3 linked regions of the Xenopus tropicalis genome follow. The protein of the gene in region 1 interacts with the protein of each later gene in a pairwise test. Links are inferred from orthologs where the notes say so. Each region holds a gene or a part of one and is shown in the gene's direction. Other genes may lie near its edges.

The links.
Region 2: the proteins of lmo1 (region 1) and sox5 interact in binary tests that used the Homo sapiens proteins (3 or more experiments, as listed by UniProt). The two-hybrid records come from large-scale screens. The link is inferred for Xenopus tropicalis from reciprocal best matches to the Homo sapiens genes LMO1 and SOX5.
Region 3: the proteins of lmo1 (region 1) and gabpb1 interact in binary tests that used the Homo sapiens proteins (3 or more experiments, as listed by UniProt). The two-hybrid records come from large-scale screens. The link is inferred for Xenopus tropicalis from reciprocal best matches to the Homo sapiens genes LMO1 and GABPB1.

What each region holds. Positions count from the first base shown.
Region 1 is NC_030680.2:3,645,850-3,649,500, reverse strand, and holds part of lmo1 (uncharacterized protein LOC100144284), read left to right. Parts: intron 1-1,087; coding exon 1,088-1,301; intron 1,302-3,651. UniProt on the Homo sapiens protein: May be involved in gene regulation within neural lineage cells potentially by direct DNA binding or by binding to other transcription factors.
Region 2 is NC_030679.2:1,650,858-1,654,608, reverse strand, and holds the start of sox5 (transcription factor Sox-5), read left to right. Parts: upstream 1-992; 5' UTR 993-1,074; coding exon 1,075-1,112; intron 1,113-3,751.
Region 3 is NC_030679.2:104,958,013-104,961,763, forward strand, and holds the start of gabpb1 (GA-binding protein subunit beta-1), read left to right. Parts: upstream 1-1,379; 5' UTR 1,380-1,510; intron 1,511-1,551; exon of another isoform or gene 1,552-2,611; intron 2,612-3,211; exon of another isoform or gene 3,212-3,533; intron 3,534-3,751.

The sequences.
Region 1 (3,651 bases):
ACACCCCCCCCCCCAATGTAAACGATGAACCAATTGTACTTTTGAAGGGGGTTGTTCACCTTTGAGTTTACATTTAGTATGACCTAGAGAGTGATACTCTGAGACAGTTTGCAATTGGTCTTCATTTTTTTATTTCTTGTAGTTTTTTAGTTATTTCATTTTCCGTTCAGGAGCTTAGAAACTATTTGGTTGCTAGGGTCCAAGTTACCTTAGCAACCAGGGAGTGGTTTGGGTGAGATACAGGTATATGAATAGGGGAGGGGCTGAATAGAAAAAACAAGTTATAAAAAGTAACAATAAAACTGGAGCCTCACAGAGCAATAGGGTTTGGCTGCCGGGGTCAGTGACCCCCATTTGAAAGCTGCAGGGTTCAGGCCCCATATGGATTGGAATAGAAACCTGTGCGGCCCCATTGGGTGGGGAACACATTAACTGCCTGCCGTGGCCCCCACCTGATGGGATTTACTCACATTCTCAATAGATATCTGACCAGGGCTTGGGTCAACTAGACCATCATTTCTGGCCAATCAGGAGTCAAGGGGCCCCATACTGTTAAGTTAGCAGGTTCCGCCCCCCAGGGGCCCCCAGTTATTAACCCATAGGTCAAGGAAACTTCCTACCATAGAATGGGGCCCCCATGTAGGAACAACCTCACCCATAATGCCCCCAAACTTCTCTTGGGTCCCTGACAGCGGTGCCCCCTGTACCCCCCAATGGCATCGCTGTGGCCCCATCACTAATCATAGGGCCCGATACTACAAGGTCCTTTTCCCCCATGATCCCCATTAGTCATCAGGGCACTGGCCAATCACAATGGGGCCCCAATCGAAAGAAGCCCCGTACATGCTTAGCCGTACCCCTAATTTGCCCCTTTGGCCAAAACTCTGTTTAAAACCCCCCCACCCCCCCACCCCTCAGTCTGTGTTTGGCCCCCACCCTGATAAATATCCCTTATTCACTATTTCATATTTCTATAACAGATAATAATACTGTATATATATTTTGTTTTTTTCCCAGTATGTGACACAATATTGGACTTATTTTTCTGTTTGTTCTTCTCTCCCCCCCCCCCCCCCCCCCCCCCCAGGGGTCCCGATGCTCTCAGTGCAGCCCAAGGGCAAACAGAAAGGCTGCGCCGGGTGCAACCGCAAGATTAAGGACCGTTACCTGCTCAAAGCGCTGGATAAATACTGGCACGAGGACTGTCTGAAATGCGCCTGCTGCGACTGCCGCCTCGGGGAGGTCGGATCTACTCTCTATACGAAAGCAAATCTCATCCTGTGCCGCAGGGATTATCTGAGGTATGAGCAGCAGTCCTGCCCTGCTTTATGGCTGAGATTCTAGCTATCTGTATAACAGAGCATTCTGTCACAGTGGCACAGATCCTATCTGATCCCCCCATTGTAAGCAGCAGTCCTGCCCTGCTTTATGGCTGAGATTCTAGCTATCTGTATAACAGAGCATTCTGTCACAGTGGCACAGATCCTATCTGATCCCCCCATTGTAAGCAGCAGTCCTGCCCTGCTTTATGGCTGAGATTCTAGCTATCTGTATAACAGAGCATTCTGTCACAGTGGCACAGATCCTATCTGATCCCCCCATTGTAAGCAGCAGTCCTGCCCTGCTTTATGGCTGAGATTCTAGCTATCTGTATAACAGAGCATTCTGTCACAGTGGCACAGATCCTATCTGATCCCCCCATTGTAAGCAGCAGTCCTGCCCTGCTTTATGGCTGAGATTCTAGCTATCTGTATAACAGAGCATTCTGTCACAGTGGCACAGATCCTATCCCCCCCATTGTAAGCAGCAGTCCTGCCCTGCTTTATGGCTGAGATTCTAGCTATCTGTATAACAGAGCATTCTGTCACAGTGGCACAGATCCTATCTGATCCCCCCCCATTGTAAGCAGCAGTCCTGCCCTGCTTTATGGCTGAGATTCTAGCTATCTGTATAACAGAGCATTCTGTCACAGTGGCACAGATCCTATCTGATCCCCCCATTGTAAGCAGCAGTCGTGCCCTGCTTTATGGCTGAGATTCTAGCTATCTGTATAACAGAGCATTCTGTCACAGTGGCACAGATCCTATCTGATCCCCCCCATTGTAAGCAGCAGTCCTGCCCTGCTTTATGGCTGAGATTCTAGCTATCTGTATAACAGAGCATTCTGTCACAGTGGCACAGATCCTATCTGTCCCCCCCATTGTAAGCAGCAGTCCTGCCCTGCTTTATGGCTGAGATTCTAGCTATCTGTATAACAGAGCATTCTGTCACAGTGGCACAGATCCTATCTGATCCCCCCATTGTAAGCAGCAGTCCTGCCCTGCTTTATGGCTGAGATTCTAGCTATCTGTATAACAGAGCATTCTGTCACAGTGGCACAGATCCTATCTGATCCCCCCATTGTAAGCAGCAGTCCTGCCCTGCTTTATGGCTGAGATTCTAGCTATCTGTATAACAGAGCATTCTGTCACAGTGGCACAGATCCTATCTGATCCCCCCCCCCCATTGTAAGCAGCAGTCCTGCCCTGCTTTATGGCTGAGATTCTAGCTATCTGTATAACAGAGCATTCTGTCACAGTGGCACAGATCCTATCTGATCCCCCCATTGTAAGCAGCAGTCCTGCCCTGCTTTATGGCTGACATTCCAGCTATCTGTATAACAGACTTTCAGACACAAATAAAAGCTCTTTAATATGACAATCCCGTCCCTTATCCGCTCACATTTTGGAGACTCAGATTCATTTCTCCCACAATGATTTGAGACAGAAACAATAACTACGAGGAGAGAAGCTGCTCGGGGCCCAGAATGTAAAAACATTTATAAAATTGTTTTTTTTTTTCCCGTCTAAATCTGCTCAGCGATCCATTTGGTGCCAGATAATAGAATTACGGGGGGCTGGGAGGGGAGTGGGAATTTAGCAATATTACTTGTGTCCTTAAGAAATGATCCCGTGGGGGGGGGGGGGGGGGGTTGGCCGCCATATTGCTGCCCCCAGAGGTAGAAGAGAATCAGACGGAGCCCATTTATCAGGCAGAGGCTCAGTATAGAGACGGCCCCCACTAATGGGTTCATCTTCCATTTATTATTTCTCTTTATACAGCAACATCGCTGCTATTTTCTGCCTCATTTGCAGGTTTTTACCTTTATAATTGTAATATCTTACAGCCCCCCCCCCCAGCCCAATAAATAGTGACTGTCTGTGGCACCTTACAGCCCCCCCGGCATTCCCAGTACCCAGAGGCACAAACAGCCCCCCCCCCCCAGCCCAATAAATAGTGACTGTCTGTGGCACCTTACAGCCCCCCTGGCATTCCCAGTACCCAGAGGCACAAACAGCCCCCCCCCAGCCCAATAAATAGTGACTGTCTGTGGCACCTTACAGCCCCCCTGGCATTCCCAGTACCCAGAGGCACAAACAGCCCCCCCAGCCCAATAAATAGTGACTGTCTGTGGCACCTTACAGCCACCCTGGCATTCCCAGTACCCAGAGGCACAAACAGCCCCCCCAGCCCAATAAATAGTGACTGTCTGTGGCACCTTACAGCCCCCCTGGCATTCCCAGTACCCAGAGGCACAAACAGCCCCCCCCCAGCCCAATAAATAGTGACTGTCTGTGGCACCTTACAGCCCCCCCGGCATTCCCAGTACCC
Region 2 (3,751 bases), on another chromosome or scaffold:
CTCTCCCGGTTGCCCAGGCTCCTCTCCCGGTTGCCCAGGCTCCTCTCCCGGTTGCCCAGGCTCCTCTCCCGGTTGCCCAGGCTCCTCTCCCGGTTGCCCAGGCTCTTCTCCCGGTTGCCCAGGCTCCTCTCCCGGTTGCCCAGACTCCTCTCCCGGTTGCCCAGACTCCTCTCCCTGCTGATCAGGCTCCTCTCCCGGTTGCCCAGGCTCCTCTCCCGGTTGCCCAGGCTCCTCTCCCGGTTGCCCAGGCTCCTCTCCCGGTTGCCCAGGCTCCTCTCCCGGTGCCCAGGCTCCTCTCCCGGTTGCCCAGACTCCTCTCCCGGTTGCCCAGACTCCTCTCCCTGCTGATCAGGCTCCTCTCCCGGTTGCCCAGACTCCTCTCCCGGTTGCCCAGACTCCCCTCCCTGCTGATCAGGCTCCTCTCCCGGTTGCCCAGACTCCTCTCCCGGTTGCCCAGACTCCTCTCCCTGCTGATCAGACTCCTCTCCCGGTTGCCCAGACTCCTCTCCCGGTTGCCCAGACTCCTCTCCCTGCTGATCAGACTCCTCTCCCGGTTGCCCAGACTCCTCTCCCGGTTGCCCAGACTCCTCTCCCGGTTGCCCAGACTCCTCTCCCGGTTGCCCAGACTCCTCTCCCGGTTGCCCAGACTCCTCTCCCTGCTGATCAGGCTCCTCTCCCGTTTCCCAGGGCTGTGGGTCCCGGTGTCCCGGTGCTGGCGGTGCCCGGGGTGGGTCCCGGTGTGTGTGGGGCTATTCCCGGTGTCCCGGTGCCCCGGTGGCTGTAGCTGGCAGGCTGCGGGCAGCTGAGTCAGTGAGTGCGGCAGGAAGCGGCTGATGGTGCCGGAGGGAGGGAGGGAGGGAGCCGGAGGGAGGGGGCAGGGGGTGGGGGAGATGGGGCTGTACTGGCCCTTTAAGGATGTGGCCAAGGAGTCGCTGTGTGTGTGAGTGTGTGAGAGAGTGCGGCTCCGGGAGAGACAGACACAGAGACAGAGGAGACAGAGGAGAAGCCGGAGAGCAGTCAGTTGCTGGGAGTCGGGAGCAGAGCAGCCCCCACACAGGGACCCGGACCCCAGCGATGCTCACGGACCCCGACCTACCCCCGGAGTTTGAGAGGTAAGTGCCCGGGGCAGCTGTGCGGGGAAAGGGCTGCGGGATGTGCCCGGCTGGGTGCCCGCTGGGGAGGTGCCCGGGTCCCTCGCTGGAAACTTTCAGCTCCTACCCCCCCCCCCGGCTCCTACTTTCCCTGTTACTCCGGGGTCTCTGCCCGACTCCCTGCAGCCAACTTTCCCGGCAACTGGGTGCCCTCTCCGTGCCACCCCCATGCCCACATACCCCTCCGGGCCGGGGTAACTGGGGGGCAAGTCGGCAACATCAGTAAACAGGGAGCGGGGCAAATGGCCAGGTCTCCCAAACTATTTCCCCTACTCCCTGCCCCCCAGTCAGAGCCCTGCAGCTACCCCCTAGTTACCCCCTAGTTACCCCCAGCCCCTCTGCTACTCACTCCCTGCACCCTGCCCCCCAGTCAGAGCCCTGCAGCTACCCCCTAGTTACCCCCTAGTTACCCCCAGCCCCTCTGCTACTCACTCCCTGCACCCTGCCCCCCAGTCAGAGCCCTGCAGCTACCCCCTAGTTACCCCCTAGTTACCCCCTAGTAACCCCCAGCCCTTCTGCTACTCACTCCCTGCTACTCACTCCCTGCACCCTCCTCCTCAGAACCCTGCAGCAACCCCCTAGTTACCCCCAGCCCCTCTGCTACTCACTCCCTGCACTGCTACTCACTCCCTGCACTACTACTCACTCCCTGCACTACTACTCACTCCCTGCCTGGCACTACTACTCACTCCCTGCCTGGCACTGCTACTCACTCCCTGCCTGGCACTACTACTCACTCCCTGCCTGGCACTGCTACTCACTCCCTGCACTACTACTCACTCCCTGCCTGGCACTACTACTCACTCCCTGCACTACTACTCACTCCCTGCCTGGCACTACTACTCACTCCCTGCACTACTACTCACTCCCTGCCTGGCACTACTACTCACTCCCTGCCTGGCACTACTACTCACTCCCTGCCTGGCACTGCTACTCACTCCCTGCCTGGCACTGCTACTCACTCAAGGCTACTTACCCGTCTCCCTATCCCCTCTCGCTACTACTCACCCCTCTCGCCGTTCCCTCGCTCTCTCTCTCTCAGACTCCCTGCACCCAGGGGGCCACTGATATCTCTTTCACTTTAGCCGTATGCCCTAGATACCTGGCACTCAGTCGGGGCAAAGCCGGCAGACTCTGGGCACTTTGTGCCCCTATTTATGGGGTTGTTTATCCTGGGAACCGAGAGAAGGTTGCCTTGTGATCCTGCTGTCAGACTGTGCCCAGACCCAAGTGCCGGCTCCCTGACTGCCAGGCCAGCGGGCATATCTCTGCCCCTATTCCCTGTGCCCGAGGGGCAGCGCCAGGGTTGGCACAACTTTGTTTTTCTCCCAGTGGAAATGTAAATTTGTGTTTGAATTTCCCGAGCTCAATGTAAATACTCCCCGCGTCTCGCTGTTTGCCCCGGGGCACGGGGGGGGGGGGCAAGCAGGATCCCTTACCCATCACATGCCCCCCCCCCCGTGCCCAGGGGAAGCGCCGACACTTTTACTGAATTTCACTTCTTTTCCCCTGAAATAAGAGCATCGCCGGGAGTTACTGCCCCCCGTACCCCCCGTGCCCCCCGTGCCCCCCGCGCCCCCCGCCGCTCTACAAACAGACATTTATGGAACCATTTGATTTACAGAATTTCTATAGAAAGTGACATAATGATATGCAAACATGTAAATGAATTAATTGTTAATTATAACCCCCCCCCCCCATTACATGGAACAGCCCTGAAACTTTACAGATACATTGTACCCCCCCCAGGAATTGCCCCCCTACTCAGTGCAACAGGTTAGGGGGTCTCACAGCTCCCTGGGGGGGTCGATACACTCGGGGGGGGGGCGACTTCCAGGCTTCTGCCGCTTGATTCAATCAGTTGCTCTGGGCCTCGGGGGCTTTTATTTGCTTTAGTCAGTGTGTTGGAGCCCCCTGGGGGGGGCAGTTGAAAGGTCGGATAGTGAGAAGGGGACGGATACTGATTCCCGTTAGACTGGGCAGAGGAGCTGACATTTTGGGCCTGTGTTTAATGAATATGTTTTTGCACCAGGGGTTACTGTTTGTGGCATTTATAGGGGGGCAATTTCTTCCCTGGGGGTGTCAGAACCAATCACTGCTGTACCCAGGGCAAGTTACCCCGGGACGGGGTAGAACCGAGGGAGAGACCATCCCCGGCCGGTAACTTTTGGTTTTGTTTGAATGCGCCGAAGTCCATTCACCTTCTCTGTGGCCCCCGGCTGTAAATGTTATATCAGCGAACCCTCCCCATTGGTTGATCATTGATCTGCCGCCCCCGGCCTGCCAATGAATGCGGATGTCTATATACTGTCTATATATATATGGGGCAAATCTGTATCCTGTATATATATATATATGGGGGAAATGTGTATCTGTATCCTGTATATATATATATGGGGCAAATCTGTATCCTGTATATATATATATGGGGGAAATCTGTATCCTGTATATATATATATGGGGGAAATCTGTATCCTGTATATATATATATGGGGGAAATCTGTATCCTGTATATATAGATATGGGGCAAATCTGTATCCTGTATATATATATATATGGGGGAAATGTGTATCTGTATCCTGTATATATATATATGGGGC
Region 3 (3,751 bases), on another chromosome or scaffold:
GTAAGTTTAATTTAGGCAAGCTCAGGGGAAACGGTCAGGTTGACGGCCCTGCGGGGGGCTGTGGATGCCACGGTGGTGGCACCTTCAGGGGTGCTTCTCAGATGCCTGTGTCAGTTACTGAGCACCCAAAGTACCATGGACTCTTAACTAAACTTTATGTAATAGCATTACAAGCTCTCATTCTCTGTAAAGTGCTGCAGAACCTGTAAGCTAAGGTAATGATCATGTGAAAAAAAAATCAAGAAAATTCAGCAAAAAGAGCATTAACGTGCAGCCCTGCAACATGCATTTCTTAAAGGAAAAAGAAAGGTAAAGTCACTTGGGGGTGCCAAAATGTTAGGCACCCCCAAGTGACTTTAACCGCCTACCTTTTACCCCGGGCTGGTGCCCCTGTTAGGAGAAAATAGCACCAGCCCGGGGTACCTGGAGTGCAGCACTTCCTCCTTCCGCCTTCCACTTCCTAAACTGCCGGTGGCCGGGCATGCACAGTAGAGCGAAAAAGCCGACTTAAATGTTTAAGTTCGGCTTTTCACTCTACTGCGCATGCGCGCGCAGCGAAGCCGGAAGGAGGAAGCGCCGGCAGCTACCCCGGGCTGGTGCTATTTTCTCCTAACAGGGGCACCAGCCCGGGGTACAAGGTAAGCGGTTAAAGTCACTTGGGGGTGCCTAACATTTTGGCACCCCCAAGTGACTTTGCCTTTCCTTCCCCTTTAAGTGCCCTTAAATTTTTTTTTTGCGATGGAGCAGCATTAAATGATGTGCCAAAAGATAGTGAATAGGTATCGCATGAACCGTCTTTACTTATTGCACAGGCTCTATTTATATCGTTCAAGTTTGAGCCACACATCTTTCTACCGTACAGCACTGGGGGAGATGTATACAAGTGAGAATTGCTGCCTAGTTAATACATGCTGAGCAATAAAACAAAAAAAAAAACAATTGAAACGTAGCATCTGGTGTTTGTGTAAACGCATTCAGTTAAACGAGCAAAACAAAAAAGTCGGAAAGCCACAAACAACCGTGCCACTTGGCACACAGAATGCTAATAACGGAACCGGCAGCTTATTCCGGAGACAACCCACAGTTCCACAAAACGCCACTAGTTCGATTCCATTCCACGCATGCGCTACTTCGCTGCGTCCTCGCCTCGTCTTGTGTATCCCTCCGCCAGAACCTACTTTCCTTCCTGTAACCAGCAAAATGATTATAAACAAATATGTTTAATAAACTGAGAATACAGTTCAATCAGAGTAACATTTAGGCATTAAAATAACTTATTTACAATTAAACACAACGGCATAGTCAGTCGCGCCACCTTCCCTAACATGAAATCAAGGCAATGCGCGCACACAAAATATAGTGCACCTCCGCGCTAAACGCGGGGACTTTTGTGCGGGGATTTTCGGCGCCGATGAGAAGGCGATTGAAGTAAAACCGGCTTGGTTTGAAAGGAAAGCTCCCCAGCAGAGGAGAGCAGGGCAGCCGAGACGGTACCAATACGACGGGCACGGTAAGCTTAGGCAGCGCTGGGAGACGTTTCTGTCAGGTTACCGAATCTTTTCCAGGTCAGTCTTGGGTGTCGGGCCCTACCGGATGTGGAAGTTGATCTCTTCTGTGGTAAAAAATAATTCAACTTCCCCCGGAACCCAGATCATCCGAACGATTTCCTGTTTATTGCGTTAAAGCCGGCGGGTTTCCGGGGATCCGGGGCTGTGCCAGGGGCTTCCCGGGTTCTGGGGGTTCTAGAAGCGAAGGGAACTGTAAAGGCGGGAAGGGCTGATGCCTGGCTATGCACAGGCGCTTCAGAAGGCCGCGGTTCCGAGAGGCGGGAAATGTAACCCGCCAAGCATTTCTCTGACTAAAGGACATATTTTGCTTATTACTAATAAATTGTGTTGTTGCTCGTTGACATGTTATTAATGAGGTCTGAAGTATTTTGTTCCCTCGCACATCGGCCTGGGATTGTGCTCGCAGCGCTTTACACGAGGCTCAGGCTGGCCAACGGGGGTTTTATTCTTATATTTGTGCAGTCTGCATCCTTTACTTGCTGCTATACTACATCTCCCGGCACACACAGCGACAGCAAATCATAGATTAGAAAGTAAGCTGCAGGCTTGCAGAAATAATTACATTCATGCACTAATATGTCCTCCGCGGGTGGCACTTACAGTGGGGAGCTGCTCATTGGCGGGCATGTTTGGTTTGGAATCAGTTTAAGGCCTAGGCTATACACATGCTTAATAACCCTAGAAACATGCCACGCTTGCTTTATTATTCATTCAAAGTTCTTGTCACTGAACATGTTATGCGCATTTTGTACGTGTAATGTCACCCAGTTTTATTCCAGCGTTCTGTTCTTTTATTAAATGACACCACTATTGCCACTGTCAAGATGATCGGTTTTGCAGTATTGTTAAGCAGGAGCTGCGAGTTTGGAGCTTCTATGTGATTGCAGAGCTGTCCTTAGGGACTGTGCCAGCAGGGGGCGCTGCATGAGGAGCCTCACAGGCATCTGTATGCAAGGAACATGTATAGAAGTTTTATACTGGAACTATCATTAAGCTTGCCTTTGTAAGCAGTAGGGATGATAGGCATAGCCGCTAGAATAGTTAGGGGGGAAAGCAACAGTCAGCAGGAATGTCTCACTCTGAGCTTAACTCATTTTTTTTTAACTACAGGACCATGGTTTTAGCTCAGCAACTGCTAAAAGACTTCATTTGTGATAGTCTTGCTTTATATAAATAGTGGGGCTCTGAGTACCGCCACAACCAAGGATATTCTGGTGAGCTATGGGTCTCTTCCACCAATTGCTGTTTGTCCCTGGCAAAGTTTAGCTGCCTAAGTTCAGAAATAGGAGGCACTGCTTTGCACCATATTGACCTGTTCATTACATCACTGGCAGCATTTCTTGAATTGTCAGTCGCATCTGGGTTTGCACCCCTTAGAGCAGGGGTCCCCAACCTTTCTACTCGAGAGCCACAGTCAAATGTAAAAAGACTTGGAGAGCAACACAAGCATCATAAAAGTAAATTGAGGCGCCAAATAAGGGCTAAGATTGGCTATTAGGCAGCCTCTATGTACACTATCAGCTTACAGGGGACTTTATTTTGTAGTAAATCTTGTTTATATTTAACCTAAACTTGTCACCAAGTCAGGAATTCAAAAATAACTACCTGGTTTGGGGGCACTGAGAGCAACATCCAAGGGGTTGGTGAGCAACATGTTGCCAACATGTGAGCCACTGGTTGGGGATTACTGCCTTAGAGTTAATTTATATTCTGCTGTTTACTAAATAGTGCAACTGGAGAGGGCCCTTTTATCTATCTATTTGTATGTGTTCCTTATTTAATACTTCTATGTGTAGTTACCACTTTATAATTGCACTAGAGTAGTAATGCAGGAAAGCTGGAAAATCTGCTTTTATAAATGTCTGTCTGGAATCTCTGTAAAACATCTGAGCTTTTATCAGCGAAGAAGGAAGTTTGTAAGCCACATGTCAGAAAAAAACTGATTTACTCAGCAGTTCTCAAAAGGTAAAGTTTTAGAGGCTTAGATATCTTGGCATGCAGACCACGTGATGTGGATGTTTATTCTAAGTGGCATTGTAAATGTATGTTCAGTGCAATAAATACTGTGACTGACAGTGCTTCAGCTCTGAATTTTCTATGTTCAGAATATTTATACAAAGTATAGTAATGTTTCTAAAGCAAACGCATACCCATATTACGGTTATCCCCCTCCCCATTGAAAA